Ovis aries: one gene and its partner. The protein of the gene in region 2 purifies or fractionates together with the protein of the main gene of each other region. This does not show direct contact. Links are inferred from orthologs where the notes say so. Each region holds a gene or a part of one and is shown on either strand. Other genes may lie near its edges.

Evidence for each region.
Region 1: the proteins of ZC3H8 (region 2) and LARP7 purify together in Homo sapiens (affinity purification with mass spectrometry; 4 studies listed by BioGRID and IntAct, counting the BioPlex papers as one, with this or other methods). This does not show direct contact. The link is inferred for Ovis aries from reciprocal best matches to the Homo sapiens genes ZC3H8 and LARP7.

What each region holds. Positions count from the first base shown.
Region 1 is NC_056059.1:13,385,778-13,394,738, forward strand, and holds the start of LARP7 (la-related protein 7), read right to left. Parts: upstream 5,107-8,961; 5' UTR 4,951-5,106; intron 1-4,950. Other genes in the region: protein ZGRF1, read left to right, coding at 8,296-8,364. UniProt on the Homo sapiens protein: RNA-binding protein that specifically binds distinct small nuclear RNA (snRNAs) and regulates their processing and function.
Region 2 is NC_056056.1:106,295,851-106,304,711, forward strand, and holds part of ZC3H8 (zinc finger CCCH domain-containing protein 8), read right to left. Parts: intron 7,360-8,861; coding exon 7,237-7,359; intron 6,739-7,236; coding exon 6,625-6,738; intron 5,456-6,624; coding exon 5,348-5,455; intron 3,078-5,347; coding exon 3,048-3,077; 3' UTR 3,028-3,047; intron 2,277-3,027; exon of another isoform or gene 1-2,276.

The DNA of each region.
Region 1 (8,961 bases), on a different chromosome or scaffold from region 2:
TGACTGTCAGCTATAATCTGAAAGTGCAGCAGGGATGCTGCAGATAGAAACAGATTTTGTTTCAAAGTGACATTCAGGAGGAGGGTACCAAGCCATGAATGCATTTCACTTCAAACCTCCAACTAAATGTGCATTCTCATCAAAGGAAGAGTATTTTGGCATTTTTAAAACAGGCTTCTGTTGATCAGGTAACTACTAATTTCTAAAACAGGTAATTATTTAGATGATGCTAGCCTAACTCATAAAATGGAAGTACATGCCAAAATTAATCATTAGAAAAACAATCAGGTGCTACATAACCATTTATTTCTCATCTCCCACTCTCACTTCAACCCATCCTGTCAGGCTTTCCTTTCCATCATTCTAATGAAACTGAAAACTAGGATCCCCACTATCTACCAGGCCTCTCAGGAGCATTTGCAGTTGCTAACTCCCTCACAAAACATTTTCCTCATTTGGCTTCCATGAGTTGTCTTCTCCATTTCCTTTTCTGGACCCTCTGACTCTGCTCTGCCTTTCCATGATGCCCAGGACTGAATGCAGTCAGTCCTGGGCTCCCTTATCTACACACATGTCGTTCCAGAGGGCCTCTGGCGTTAAGCTCCATGGCTCTCTATGCTGATGTTTCACAAACCTGTCCACTCCCGACTTACCCCATTACCTCCCCATTCCAACACGCAAATACCCACCTGACCTCTTCACTTATTCATCTGAAGCATATCTCAAGCTTAAATTGAACTCTCAAATTTTAGCAAACCACGTTTTTTTCCTAGTTTTTCCCGTCTCGGAAAATACCAGTGAAAACTGCTGAGAGGGCACAAACACTGAAATCCTTAATTTCTTCCTCACACCCCACAGCCAATTCATTAGCATTTCTGTTAGCTCTAGCTTTTCAAAATTCGTATGACTCCTCATTTCTTCCATCACAACCACCTGCTCCAAGCTATCACGGGTACCTTGCCTGCAGTTCAAACACATCCTCACATTTACTTGCTTCTACTCCTCTTCCATTGTCAATTCTCCAGATAGCAGTCAGAGTGATCATTTAAATATATAAATAAAATGTCAATTTCTTGAACAAAATCCTCCAAAGGTTTCTTATCCCAGTCAGAATAAAATAAAAAATCCTTATTGTGGCCTATAGGTCCTATTACATCTGGCCTGGGGATTTCGCTCTAACTTCGTCACTTGCAACTTCTTTCAGGGTGCTCATTACAACCTCAACACACCATCGTTCTGTTCCTTGAACAGTCTAATGCATTCCCATTCCACGGCTTTTGCTCCTGCTGTTTCCCAGGTTTCCTGTCACATCTGCAGGGATTACTTCCTTGTTCACCCAGGCCTCTGCAAATGTCACTTTCTCAAAGAGGCTTTCTCTTTCACCAAATCTAAAATATCCCTTCCCTGCCAACCATAACCCTACCCTCCCTCACTCACCACTTTCTATACTTATATGCTCTTATTCCTGCCTGGAATTATAATTTTATTGCCTGCTTCATTATAATATAAACACTAAGAAGGCAGAGACTTCAGCTTGATCACAACCTTGGCATTTATTGTCTAGTTAAGTAATATAACTAACAGCATCTAATAAATTGTCAAGTATTGAGCATTTCAAGTTATTTTGTAAGGGGGTAGAATTATAAACAAAATACAAATGTAGGCTATGATCGTCACTACAGAATTCACTACTAACTCTTTCATCTGAAAAATCTATAAAGGGCAGATTACCACTTCTCCTGGTGGCTCAGAGGTTAAAGCATCTGCCTGGAATGCAGGAGACCCGGGTTCGATCCCTGGGTCGGCAAGATCCCCTGGAGAAGGAAATGGCAACCCACTCCAGCACTCTTGCCTGGAGAATCCCATGGAGGGAGGACCCTGATAAGCTACAGTCCATGGGGTTGCAAAGAGTTGGACAACACTGAGCGACTTCACACACACACTACTTCTCCATTTGTTTTCATCGTCAAAGCCACCATCTAAGGAGATAGTGGACAAAACTGCATAAACACAGAAAGCCACAAATCTCCCAGAAATCAGACTTTTCCCAGCATTCTCTTCTCAGCCCTGATACTCTCCTTCCTTTCCCATATATAAATATATATATATATATATTTTGCGGCCTGGAGAATTAAGTTCAGAAAATCTTGCCCCATGTGAATAACACTCTGCAACTTTCAATCTTAAAAATCTGTGGAGAATCAAATATACCTTCATTTTCGAGTACAGATATGGATTAGATTAAACAGGAATTAAGCTATGGTACAAGTTCTCTTTGCTACACATTGGTTGCAGAAGATCAGGAAGTTACATGATAGTCATAGTTTACTTTTTCAATGTCCTATGATAACAAATAGGTATACTGTCATTCCATACATTCCAAATCAAAGTTCTTATCTTTCTTAGCAATGTCTGTTCTGCTGTTCTCACCACCCTCATTTTCTTTAAGGATGACATATTCTACTTAGTTAACCAGTCGAGCTATTTACTAGCTGTATGGATTTGGGGCAAGTTAACTCAACTTTCTACGATCTACAAAGTGGAATAAAATTTATACTGACATACTAGGGTTGTTTTAAAAATTAACCAAAATGGATAAAGCACTTTCCATTGCTGCTATACAGCACACAGTCAACAATATCTAACTGTTATTTATTATCATTTTATCATTTACCAATCTGTCATTAATCCCTATCAATGTAACCTTTGGAATGGCTCTTATCTTCATCCAGTGTTTTCCACAACTACTGTTATAATAATACGGAAATTGTTTATAAATTGTTTGAGAAGTCCTCCATCCTTCACAGAAGCTGTGTAACTTGTCTAAACACAGGTCTAATTTTGTGACTCTAATGCTAAAACTTTCAACAATAATAATTCTTTAGCATCTTTTGGTAACACAGCATATATTTTTAAAAAATTGTTAAATGAATCAACTAGTTTCATAGGGTTTAAACAAAGAATAAAAGTTACTGTGTAACACCAGTTACTTTACACACCTTGTTTTAAATCCTCATAATCCCTCTAGGTTATTTCTCTTAACTTTTTACAAAGGCTCAAAGGTTAAGTGACCTGGCTAAAGCTAGCTAGGTAAGTAAGCTCAGGTATGTTTAACTTTCACACTGCCTAAGTTTTAGTAGAACCTCTTGCAACCTCTTACCATGTAGTCTACGTTTTGACTCAGAAATCCTTTTTTTAAATTGTTAAATTTTTTTTTTTTTTACAATGTTGTGTTGGTTTCTGCTGTACAACAACGCGAATCAGCCATCTGTGTGTTCGTGCTAAGTCGCTTCAGCAGTGTCTGAGTCTTTGTGATCCCATGGACTGCAGCCATCCAGGCTCCTCTCTGTCCAAGGAATTCTCCAGGCAAGAATACTGGAGTGGGTTGCCATGCCCTCCTCCAGGGGATCTTCCTGACTCAGGGATCTAACATTGCATCTTACATCGCCTGCAATGGGAGGCAAGATTTTTTTAACAGTAGCGCCACCATCAGTCATAAATATACATATATACCCTCACTCTTGAGCCTCCCTCCCCTTTCTCCATCCCACTCCTCTAGGTCATCACAGAGCACCAGACTGGGCTCCCTGTGTCATACAGCAACTTCTCACCAGCTATCCATTTTACACACGGTAGTGTGTATCTGTTGATGCTACCTTCTCCATTCATTCACTCTCTCCCTCCCCACCCCGGCTGTGTCCACAAGTCCATCTCTCCTGGCTCAGAAATTCTTAACCTGAAATCCATGGAATTTGGGATGGATTTCAAAAATTATTGTAAATCCCACGAAATTTTCAAAGGTAAATTTTAAAGGTGAAACCATGACTTTTCTACGTTTATAAAATGAACTCGTCAATCATTTTATTTAAGTAATTAACCAGGGAACTAGTTAAGTGCTAAAAACCAGTTCAAAGGTGAACTCAAAAACTAGACAAGCGCAAATACAAGCAAGCAAAAATATTGAAATGAACTTGTTAACAGATGTAACACTAATCAGGGCAATAACTCTTAAGACTTATTTCAATTATAACTTACATAATTGTAACATAGCTCAATGACAATGAAAAGCAGAGGTAAGCTGGAAAAGTAAGCTAGACACCTCTTTTTTTTTGGCTATTTCAACGTCTTTCACAATTTTTCTTTAAAAGGTTATAGAAAATATTTAGAGATGTATATGTATTTTCCTGGGAGGCTCATCCATATCTTTTAAATCACGTTTTAAAAGGAAATGGTGTGTCAAAAAGGTTAAGAGAACTATAGTTCTAGTCACATCTGACTATCCAGCGTTGCCTACTTTCTTGTCTCTGTGCCTCTGCTTTAAAAGCTTCTTGTCTTCCTTGTCTTATCAAGTCCTATTCAATTTTCAAGGCCCAGGTTAAACGGCATCTTACTCTTTCTAGCTTTCTGCTAGCACATTTCCCCTAAACAACCGCCTCATCTGTTTCCCTTTTAAGTATGTCTATTAACGCACTCAATAATACACTGTATTTTTTCTTCCTTCCATAACTGGATGTTCAGCTCTCTGAATGACAGAGACAAAAGTTCTGAAAAAGGAAATGACTTAATTTAAAAATACAAGTCCACATTCGCTATCGTTTGGCCACCAAAACTCGAATCTGCGAAGAAAAGCAATTCCCCTTTTGACTACTGCCCCTTTAGGTACCCGTCCTTCCTCAAGGAAGCCGTCAGACGCGGGACTACCCCAAACCTCCCAAAACCGGGCGGCAAGCGCCCCCAATCACTAGAAAACTGGAACTGCAAGGGCTGCCGGAGGACTCTTGCGCGTGCGCACAGAGAACCAGGACACTAGGGCAATCTAACTGATGGGTTGGTGGGAGGGGGCGGGATGAGAAGGACCAGAGATGACAGAAAGGACCGGCATAGAAAAAGACTGAGAGTAATTTAGATCTCACCCAACCTGGGCTTCCCTAGAGTCCACTTAGAACTTACTCTGTCCAATTCCCAAAATACAGCGCCAGAGACTGCGTTCTTCAGTCCTTCGCGTCCCCCGAACCTTATAGTCGTGGTTATTTTAGCGTCACATGAGCGACAATTCTTCCGAACGCCTTGGAAAAGATGGGCCCAGAGGTTGTGCGACCGACATTTACGTCACTGGCGTAGGCCCGCTCAGCGTGGGGGCGGGACATCGGAGAACGCAGTCGCCACAGAGGCTAGCAGCCAAAGAGGAACTTGATTGGCAGTTTGAAAACGGCCATTCAGGTCCGGAGCCGTGGTGGGCGGGCTAAATAGTGGGGTTGGATCTGGTGCGGTCGCGAGTTGATGATGTCACGGCTTTTCGCGGGAGAAGTTCGAAAGTGGGTTTTGTGCAATGAGCAAGTTAAAAGAGCTGTTTCCACTCGGGAGTTTCTGGGGATTGAGGGTAGATAGGCTGGAGTTTTGAGCTCGAGGTGCTGTCACTGATTTTGATGCGACGGGCGAAGGAGTTTGCTCCGCCAGACGGGGTTCGGTAACGAAACTGTGTGGAGATAAGGTTGGTTCACGGCTTGGCGCAGCAACCTGTAAATAATTAGTGCTTCGTCTTTACCACCTTCCCCCAACTCCTGCTGGGCAGTTCCGGTATCCGTGTGAGAACCCGGGATGGTTTTGCTGTTTATTTTTAGGACTGACAAAGGGTCCCTTCTTCATTGTCATCTGGTTACACAAGCTAGTGATAATTAGAACGTTGGCAAATGAAATGTGAGCATCTTTTGGTTGTCTGGACTGGACCGTTTCTTAAAAGGCTATTGGGCTCGTGATTCTTAAATTTTTAAATCTGTGAACCACTTAGGGATTCGAAAGATCCTGCTTGTTCCAAAAGAAAAGGACCAAAAACATCTCATCGTACTTAGCAAGAACAGGTCATATTTTAGTGATAACACCGAATTTTATACATAAATCTAAAAAACAGCACAATAATGTGTGTGAAGATATGTATGTATTTCTGTACTAAATTATCGCAAAACATTTAATCTCTCCCTTTTTTTTGAAGTGTAATTCTTTAATCTACCACTTAACAAGAGTTAGGACCGTCTCAATACCTTTTACATCGCAAATCCCTCAAGTAATATTTCTAATTTAGGAAAACAATGGGGGAATTTATTTTGCAGTTGGTAAACAGCATATAAGTAATCCTAAAGAAGTAAATACTGGATTTCTAACCTGTAAATTGTGATGGTAATAACAACTTTTAGGACTATGAGACTGATAAATATTATATGTAAAGAATCCAGTCCCATTCTTGCCTGTTACAGTAGGTTTTCCATAGTCACATAATGTAGTTTTTGTGAATGGGAACACCAGAATTTAGACTACTTAGTTTTAAATTCTGAATCTGCCATTTATTTACTTCATGAGCTTAGGCAAATTACATACTGATGTACCTCACTTCCTGTTTTTGTAAAATGAATATAAAAAGTAGTATCTGTACTATAAGGTGTAAAATTTAAAGCATTTTAACAGTGTTCTAGCATATAATTTACACTGAATAAATAATAACTGTTATTAAAGGGATCTAATGTTAACTGCTACATGCCAAGCATTGTGTTGACACTATGTAGTCTTATCTACATATATTTGATGTCTAACCCATTCAGTGGCTAGAAGCAAGTTGCTGTTCAACCAGCAGTCAACTATGTGTTTCTTTGGACCTCTGTTATCTTCTTGGCATTCACTAGGCATCTGTCAATCCTGTTAGCTGGAGGGGAGGGATTAGGATATGGAGTTATATTTCTGAAAGGCAGTGCCTCTGTAGGTCTGGCCCTGTGCTGTGAACTATATCATGGGACAAGCATTCATTTCTCATTTGTGTACCGTTTGCCCTGCCCTTTCTCCATTTAGCAGCCAGAGCAATCTTGGTAAAACCCAAGTCAGATTATGTTAACGTATTCTTGAAATTCTGCCTTGGCCTCCTACTGTCTTTTTAAAAAGTCCGAACAACTTAGCATAAAATAGAATGCCCTTCGCATCCTGTTATTGCTCACTTTTTCAGACTTATCTCTCACAACTCACTATCTTACACTTGATTATAAACTAGAGTTCCTTGATTATGCCTTCCACAGCTTTTTTGTACGTGTTATTCTTATTTGGAAATACCCTCCTTGGGATTTTTCCTTGGTTAATGATTATTTCGGTTCACAGTATATGCATTATGTCTTTCAGGAAACCTTGTTTGATGCCCTAGACTGAGTTGGGTGTCCCTCCAGTGCTTTTCCTTCCATATTTTTTGTAATTACTGTTTATTACCCTGCTATACTGAAATTCCTTGAGACTAGGAGTAGTAGTTTGTTCATTTTAGTATCTTGGCCTAGCGCTATGTACACACAATACATAGCACACAGTAAGTACTAAATATATGTTATTTATAAATAACATGTAGGTGGTCTATTTTTTGTACATTTTATACATATAAAGGATGAATTTAATCCAGAATTGCAAATTATTGCTTTATTGAATACCTGTAGGTTTCAAACTTGAGTGTGTATCACTGCACCTGCAGTGCGTTTTAAATTACAGGTACTGGACCCCAATGCCAGCCTTTATGATTTAATAGCTCAAGACTCAAGAATTTGAATTTCTAACTAGCTCCCAGGTGTTGCTAATGCTATTGGCCCAGGGATCTAAGGCAGTGGTTAAAAATAATAATACTTTTCTTCGGCATCTCTGTTTACTTCAGTTCATTGTCAGTGATATTAGATTTCCAGATTTGCCCACAATAATAGTTTTATCCAATAGCATGGGATAAATATAGTACTCATTGCAATTATATTGAAAAAGTTTTTCCTTGGAGAGTGTATTATAATGTATATTTGGTTTTAGATACTATGTTACATTGACTTTGAAAAGGTAAAAGGAAAAATTTGAAATGCAAGGGGGCCATCTTGTGGTGATCGTAGCAATTCAGAGAATTTTAAAATTGAAGCTCTTAGAGAAACCAAGCTTCTGGGGCGGGGAGAGAATCCATTTTCTGATATATATTATGGCACCTGGAAAAATGTCTGCAGCCTACTCATCTGTGGGTTGGTTTTTTTTCTTTTGGCTTACCCTGGAAGCTTGTGGAATCTTTGTTCCCTGACCAGTGATTGATGCCAGCCCTTTGCAGTGAAAGCACAGAGTGCAAACCACTGGACTGCCAGGGAATTCCCTACATGTGTGTTTCCCTTGGTGATTACATAGTCTCAACACTTAAATACCCCTCTCTGGTCAAGAGTTGGTGGGGAAAAATTGTAGTTGATACTTATTCTGTTCATCAGGGTTGAATATTTGTCTTTTTTCATTTTAGGTGCTATAAATAGTTGAATGACTACTGATTATTTTCTGCACCTGAACCTAATTTCAGAAGAAGTAATGGAAAGCCAAGAATTTATTGTAAGTCTTATTTGTTTTCACTGTTTCCTTTTTCCTTCCTTCCTTTCATGTTTCACAAATGATTTGCCAGATTTAGCTAAAAAACCTAAAATAAATTTTTTAAAAACCCCAAACCTGGGACTTTCCTGGTGATCCAATGGCTAAGACTCCTTGCTCCCAAAGCAAGGAGTCCAGGTTCGATCCCTAGTCAGGGAAACAGATCCCACGTGTTGCAGTGAAAAGCTCACATGCCACAGTGAAGGATTCTGCATGCCACAGTGAGGACAGAAGACCCCACATGCTGCAACTAAGACCTAGTGCAACCAAAGAAAAACGAAAAACAAAAACCCAAACCTAAAATAGGACACTCTGTTAAACTTGAATTTCAGATAAACAGTGAATAATTTTTTAGTGTGAGTATGCATCTCTGAAATATTGCCCTGTATTCTGTCTGGCAACCCTAGAGTTCACATTGGTCGTGTCCGATTCTTGGTGACCCGATGGACTGTAGCCTACCAGGCTCCTCTGTCCATGGGATTTTCCGGGCAATAGTGCTGGAATGGATTGCCATTTCCTTCTCCAGTCACATTGGTTATGCAAAGTTCTTTGGAACAAATT
Region 2 (8,861 bases):
ACCAGACTTCCCTGTAAATGGAAGTTTCCAGGCAAGAATACTGGAGCAGGTTGCCATTTCCTACTCCAGGGCATCCTCCCAACCAGCGATCAAGCCTACATCTTGTGTCTCCTGCACTCACAGCAGATTCTCTATCAAACTATATCCAAATCCAGTAAAGCTCCAGTAATTAAAGCAGTAGAGTATTAGAGAAACAGACAAAAGGAGCAGACAGAGGTCCCAGAAATAGACCTTCATTTGAAGAAACTCAATATACAACACAGGGGCTATTACAAATCAGTGGGGGAAAGCAGTCTTTTCAGTTGAATGGTTCTGGGAACTGGTTTTCCATATGGGGGAAAAAAAAAGACAATACAGTCTTTATCACACCTTGTTAAAAAAAAATCAATTAGCCTTAATTCTTCCATTTTCCCTACACCTATAGCCACTCTCTTTTTCCTGAAATCAGTCCAATATACAAATACTGGCAAAAGAGATTAACAGCATTTCACTAAAGCTGAAGCTCAAAAGCTAGTAAGCATAGGAAAGATGTACAACTTTATGAAAATAAAGCTATGTGACACCATTTCTACATCCAGTAAATTGGTCAAAATTTTAAATCCTGACAATTAAAGCATTGCTGAAGGTCAGTTCAGTTTAGTCGCTCAGTCATGTCTGACTGTTGGAGACCCCATGAACCGCAGCACGCCAGGCCTCCCTGTCCATCACCAACTCCCGGTGTCCACCCAAACTCATGTCCACTGAGTTGGTGATGCCATCCAACCATCTCATCCTCTGTCGTCCCTTCTCCTCCTGCTCTCAATCTTTCCCAGCATCAGGGTCTTTTCAAAGTAGTCAGATCTATGCATCAGGTGGCCAAAGTATTGGAGTTTCAGCTTCAGTCCTTCCAATGAACACCCAGGACTGATCTCCTTTAGGATGGACTGGTTGGATCTCCTTGCAGTCCAAGGGACTCTCAAGAGTCTTCTCCAACACCACAGTTCAAAAGCATCAATTTTTCGGCACTCAGCTTTCTTTACAGTGCAACTCTCAAATCCATACATGACTACTGGAAAAACCATAGCCTTGACTAGATGGACCTTTGTTGGCAAAGTAATGTCTCTGCTTTTCAATATGCTGTCTAGGTTGGTCATAACTTTCCTTCCAAGGAGTCAGCGTCTTTTAATTTCACGGTTGCAATCACCATCTGTGGTGATTTTGGAGCCCCAAAAGACAGAGTCTGCCACTGTTTCCCCATCTATTTCCCATGAAGTGATGGGACCAGATGCCATGATCTTAAGTTTTCTGAATGCTGAGCTTTAAGCCAACTTTTTCACTCTCCTCTTTCACTTTCATCAAGAGGCTCTTTAGTTCTTCTTCACTTTCTGCCATAAGGGTGGTGTCATCTGCGTATCTGAGGTTATTGATATTTCTCCTGGCAGTCTTGATTCCAGCTTGTGCTTCTTCCAGCCCAGCGTTTCTCATGATGTACTCTGCATGTAAGTTAAATAAGCAGGGTGACAATATACAGCCTTGACGTACTCCTTTTCCTATTTGGAACCAGTCTGTTGTTCCATGTCCAGTTCTAACTGTTGCTTCCTGACCTGCATACAGGTTTCTCAAGAGGCAGGTCAGGTGATCTAGTATCCCCATCTCTTTCAGAATTTTGCAGTTTATTGTGATCCACACAGTCAAAGGCTTTGGCATAGTCAATAAAGCAGAAATAGATGTTTTTCTGGAACTCTCTTGCTTTTTCCATGATCCAGCAGATGTTGGCAATTTGATCTCTGGTTCTGCTTTTCTAAAACCAGCTTGAACATCTGGAAAGTCACGGTTCACGTATTGCTGAAGCCTGGCTTGGAGAATTTTGAGCATTACTTTACTAACGTGTGAGATGAATGCAATTGTGCGGTAGTTTGAACATTCTTTGGCATTGCCCTTCTTTGGGATTGGAATGAAAACTGACCTTTTCCAGTCCGGTGGCCACTGCTGAGTTTTCCGAATTTGCTGGCATATTGAGTGCAGCACTTTCACAGCATCATCTTTTAGGATTTGGGAAATAGCTCAACTGGAATTCCATAACCTCCACTAGCTTTGTTCATAGTGATGCTTCCTAAGGCTCACTTAATTTCACACTCCAGGATGTCTGGCTCTAGGTGAGTGATCACACCATCGTGATTATCTGGGTCGTGAAGATTTTTTTTATACAGTTCTTCTGTGTATTCTTGCCAGCTCTTCTTAATATCTTTTGCTTCTGTCAGGTCCATACCATTTCTGAAGGTGGAGTAATGGAATTTCTTTTACATAGTTGGTGGGAATAAAAACTGTAAGAACTACTTTAGAAAAGACTGGCATTATCCTAAGTTTATTATTTTTTTAATTGGAAAAAAATTGCTTTACAATGTTGTATTAGTTTCTGCTGTACCACAATATAAATCAGGCATAAGTATACAGATCATCTTAAGTTTTAAGATGATACAATTCTACTTCCTGATTCATACTCAGGACAACTCACACACATTTCCATCAGAAGACAGGTAAAACACTTTTTTATAATAAGAGTTTGTACTTTAAAAATTGAAAATAACCTCAATGTCCATCAACAGTAGAATGTCTAAATAAATTGTAATATATTCATAGAAAAAAATGTTCTACAAGAGTACAAATGAATGACAGCTGCATGCATATACATGAGTGAACCTTAGAAGCATAATGACGAGTAAAAATAGCAAGTCACTAATAAATATCAAATATGATACTGTTTAAAATAATATCCAAACCCAAGCATAATATTCAGTTAACCTTACCCGTTTGGTAAGTCTACAAAGAATAAAACAAGAGAATAAAAATACAGAAAGACAGTGACAAATCCAGAGTGGGAAGTAGACCCACAGAGACCCACATACATATCTACTTATATCTGTCAAACATTGTATAACTTTTTTAAGTGAGCAAGAAAAAGACTTCTATTTGAGAAAATATATGTTCCCATGCTGATTTCTAGAGACATTTCAGAGGGGGAAAAGAAATGTTAAATTTTAATTTTACCTTTTTCAGCTATTTTATTTTCATGATGACTTCCTTTCAGGATCCAAAATCTAATATAGAGGGGAAAAAAAATTCACAATCATTTTCATGTACTATCTAATTCAGGTACATCATCATACTCTTATAATTTTCCTTTTTTTTTTTTCTTATAATTTCCTAAAGATTCCTACACCATTAATCCTAGTAATTACCTAATAATACTTATTAAAAGGGGAACTGGAAAATGAATTCTATATACATCATTTTTTCCATATATGCTTCATGGTAATAAACAACCAAATATTTGCTATAATTTCTAATTCCAGGATAACTCTTCCTATTTCAAAACTAAAAACATAAGGACCTTTGACTTTTCAGAAATAAGGACCTTTGACTTTCCAATATTTGCATATGCTCAAGGGAGTTTTTGTTGCAAGATTAAACAGTCTGGTTTCAAAAGAATCTTTTCGGAGAGTGTTTTGTCTATGTTCTCCTCTAGGAGTTTTATAGTTTCAGGTCTTACGTTTAGATCTTTAATCCATTTTGAGTTTATTTTTGTGTGTGGTGTTAGAAAGTGATCTAGTTTCATTCTTTTACAAGTGGTTGACCAGTTTTCCCAGCACCACTTGTTAAAGAGATTGCACATCCCAGAATACTGGAAATAAAAGCAAAAATAAACAAATGGGATCTAATTAAAATGAAAAGCTTCTGCACAACAAAGGAAACTATAAGCAAGGTGAAAAGACAGCCTTCTGAATGGGAGAAAATAATAGCAAATGAAGCAACTGACAAACAACTAATCTCAAAAATATACAAGCAACACCTGAAGCTCAATTCCAGAAAAATAAACGACCCAATCAAAAAATGGGCCAAAGAACTACATAGACATTTCTCCAAAGAAGACATATGGATGGCTAACAAACACATGAAAAGATGCTCAACATCACTCATTATCAGAGAAATGCAAATCAAGACCACAATTAGGTACCATTTCACACTAGTCAGAATAGCTGCGATCTGGAAGTCTGCAAGCAATAAATGCTGGAGAGGGTGTGGAGAAAAAGGAACCCTCCTACACTGTTGGTGGGAATGCAAACTAGTACAGCCACTATGGAGGACAGTGTGGAGATTCCTTAAAAAATTGCAGATAGAACTGCCTTATGACCCAGCAATCCCACTGCTGGGCATAGACACTGAGGAAACCAGAATTGAGACCCCAATGTTCATCGCAGCACTGTTTATAATAGCCAGGACATGGAAACAACCTAGACGTCCATCAGCAGATGAATGGATAAGAAAGCTGTGGTACATATACACAATGGAGTATCACTCAGCCATTAAAAAGAATACATTTGAATCAGTTCTCATGAGGTGGATGAAACTGGAGCCGATCATACATAGTGAAGTAAGCCAGAAAGAAAAACACCAATACAGTATACTAACACATATATATGGAATTTAGAAAGATGGTAAGGATAACCCTGTATGCGAGACAGCAAAAAAGACACAGATGTATAGAACGGACTTTTGGACTCTGAGGGAGATGGAGAGGGTGGGATGATTTGGGAGAATAGCACTGAAACATGTATACTATCATGTAAGAAATGAATCGCCTGTCTATGTTCGATCAGGATACGGGATGCTGGGGGCTGGTGCACGGGGCTGATCCAGAGAGATGATATGGGGTGGGAGGTGGGAGGGGGGGTTCAGGACTGGGAACTCATGTACACCCCTGGCGGATTCATGTCAATGTATGGCAAAACCAATACAGTATTATAAAGTAAAATAAAGTAAAAATTAAAAAAAAAAGAATCTTTTCTTTTCACTCACATTTCAATTTAATTTTGAAGAAATCAGGTCCAACTTACACATGGAAATGAAAGGACATAAACAACTATTATTTTTCAACTATCTTTTCTTACAATCTGAAAGAGCTTTTGAAGAAAACTTTGAAATAATTATTTGAGTATGCTTTGATGTAACTCTAAAATATTTATCAACCAATGATCCTTAACTTTCCTTCTAAGAGTGTATCAGGAGTACTATTTCTCCTATCTGCTTTGTTTTCCATTGGCTGACATAGCTACTGAAGTCGCTAAATACACTGAAGTTTTTAAGAACATTTCAATTTATACCAGCAACAAGTATAAATTTTCCTTTAAGCTACAAGGGAAAACATACAAATGAATAATAATTTTCTATACTGAAGTAAGTTGTCGTAATATAACCCATATGCTAACCCATGAAGCACTCTGCTTAAATAAGTGTCTTTTTAAATTCCCACCCTTAGGTTCAAACGTATTCTTTAAAGAAGAAAAACAAAAATTAAAATTGTACTTACTTTAGCCAACAGTTCTTGTGTTTCATCAGTCAATGGAGCATGTGAAAACTTGCAGTATTCTCCCTGATAACATTTTGCTCCTGTATGGTAAAACTTGCAAGGATATTCATGTAACGCAAGTGTTAAGGAAGAAAAAAATTTTAATCCTGCTAATATAACTTACTATTAATCTAATAACTTTATTTTTCCTTCATGAAGTTCTTTTCTACTAGTGGAAACATTAAATTCTCTATGTAAAATATGAGACGACAGGACTTCCCTGGTGGTCCACTGGCTGAGACTCAGCACTCCCGATGCAGGGGTCCAGGGTTCAATCCCTGGTCGGGGAACTAAAGCCCACATGCTAAAGATCCCACGTGCTGCAACTAAGATCCAGGACAGCCAAATAAATTAATGAATTAAAAATAAAAAGATCCATTCTTAACAAAATAAAGCACGAGACAATAAATTATTAACTGGGTTATAAGAAAATTAACTTTAGGATGATTATACACATGAAGTTTATTGGCTATCACAGGACAAATTTCTCCCTCATAATCATTCTTAAACCACAGGTATGTTTCACTGATAAGACAAAAGAGATGTGCATTTTAAATACTTAGAGAAATTTGACTATTTTTAAAGTATTCTTTTGGGGTGAGGGAATTAAAGTCAGTAACAATAATGTGTCTTGCAAATCTGGATCCTTGTTAGACTTGTTTAAAATGGGATCCATATACATAACTCTGATATTATTTTCCAGGAAAAATTTCTCAAGTTAGGGTTTGAGATTCCTCATATTGAATGACTTAAAGGAAAACAACTTTTGTGGTGACCAAATGTGCAGTTGTCCTAAAATGTTATGTTCCATGTTTTCATAGCATGTCTAGACCATTTATACTCAAGAGTTAGGGTTACTCTTCAATTAAGGGACAATTAATCTCTATACAGCACACAGTATAACAGAAAAGAAGTACTCCCAAACTATGCAATTCCTGCCTCTTTTATGAAGCAGATTTCATGAATACAGATTCAATTCAGGGATGTCACAGCAGAAATTCTGAGAAAGTATTCCTGGGACCTAAACTGTAAGGTCTCATGACCCTGTTACACTACCCAGTTAGAGAGGATGTACATTTGAGAGAATTTCTAATCTGTGAACAATTTAATCACTTCAATACTGAGTTGAGCTTAGATAATATAATTTTGCCATGGTTAAAACATTTGTTTCATTCAAAATTTTACATTCATGTAAACATTTATGAAAAGTAAATTTACTGTATCTTGTGATAAAGGATATTATGCAAATAAAGGCAGTTTTCCCCTCTGGTACAATATCCTTGTACATAAAACTTACACATTTCCTTTTTCTTCTCTATCTCTGCATCATGATCAAATTTACATTGGTCTCCCTGGGCCAAAGGAAGAAACAAGGGAAAGCTATTATTTCTCACAGTTAAGCCATTACAATTCCTACTTAATTCTGGATAAGCAAATGATTCCAGAAGAAAACAAAGTCTTAGAAGCAGTATAGTCTGCTTTTTAAAGAGCTATTATAACTGCATCGTATTACATATTTTGGCTTGCAATTTGTCAAGTCCTTAACATTTTTAACACAAAGCATTTAAAAAAAATTATCTATTTTCAGAGACATAAAACAAGGTACAAAAATTTCATGGTCTAAAGTATTAAAATCATACAGAGTCTGTTCTCTTATCACTGTGGAATTACATTACTACTTTCTAAATACAAAAGAATATTTCAGTAAAATTTTCTACTTGAAACCTTTCCAGAAAGAAAAAAGTTCTAAAATTATACAGGTATGCTTTTGCAGTGTCTAACAGAAACAGAAGCTGGTTTTAGAACATTTTTGCTATACCTTACATCTATTTTTTTTGCTTATACTATACCTTAATACACTTCCTTTCAAGAAAGTATTTACAAATTTGCTTTCCCTGGCGTTGCACCGTATGTTGGTTGATGAACCCCTGACTCATTCTCACAGGCTGCTGCTGCTCTTTAGATTTCCCATTCTATGAAGACAAAAACAAAAAACTAAACGTGAAAAATAAGAGATTAAACATTTGATTCCATTGTACAAAATTATCTTAAACCACCTTTTAAAACATTAAAAACTAACTCTTCTGAATTGCCCTTCAGGTAAGACTTGGATTTTTGTGTATCATTTGAAACAAATGAATGATCGTCGGTTTTGGTATCATTCCACCACTGAACATTAGTGTTTGTGCAATCTGAATTTTTACTGTATCTTGACTGCATGCGAACTGTGTCCGGCTCTTTGCGACCCCATGGACTGAAGCCCGTGAGGCTCCTCTGTCCATGAAATTCTTCAGGCAAGAATCCTGGAGTGGGCTGCCATTTCTTCCTCCAGGGGACCTTCCCAACCCCAGTGATCGAACCTGAGTTTCCTGCAGCTCCTGAATTGGTAGGTGGATTCTTTACCTACTAATTCTTTCTTATTGCACCATCTGAGATTATATTGTACTTGCCCTCACTTAAAAAATTTTAAAATTTTTAAAAAGTAAGTTCCACTCATTGTGATAAACAGTGAAGTCTAAGAACAAGGCTCTTTAGAACACTGGGGACAAACCTCAAAATTAAAAAGTAAACCAACCACAAGTAGCGTAATCTTTCATTTCAATGACAGGCTCATTAGGTGTGAGCTGAGTACACTGATGAGCTCAAATTAGTAAACATAATTAGAAACAGACCCTCCAAGATGGTGATAAAGATATGAAAACAAAACGGGACTTTCACATAAAAATGAGAGGGAAATTTTATTACAGGTCTTTAGAAACATAAATCACTTTCATGGAGAAGGAAATGGCAACCTACTCCAGCGTTCTTGCCTAGAGAATCCCAGGGACGGAAGAGCCTGGTGGGCTGCCGTCTACGGGGTCGCACAGAGTCGGGCACGACTGAAGCGACTTAGCAGCAATATATCTATGTCTATAGGAAGGATAGAAAATATCCAAGTACATGCTACATTTTCCTTTCTGACACTTTATCCCATGTTGTAAAAAAATAAGACCATCTTCAGAATCAGGGAAATGTAAAGACTGTACGATAAAGACAAAGCCTGGAATAATAAAATAAGTATCAACTCTGAAACCAAATATAGGTAGGTTTTATTTCAGCTCTGTGTGCCTTTGGGTGCATCACTTCTCCTAACCTTTATCACCTACAAAACTGAAATAATAATATCAATCTTGCAAAATCCAAGATATAGAACTATTGTGCCCAAAATGCCTGAACATACAGGAAGTGCTCAATAAACGGTCATTTTTTCCCCCATTAAAAAAAAAAAAAATCACTTTCAGCGTGTTAACTTGTGGTGCAACTTACAGCATCTACATATGGTATTCCCACATACGGTCTTAGGAACTCCACAGGTACAAAGAAGGGAGCTGACTGCACGCTTATGTGAGCTGCTCTGTAATAATGTCAAAATTCCACTCAGCACTATCAAAATCATGTGCCTAACAAGTATGCCAGTTTTAACTCTCAGTTTTAT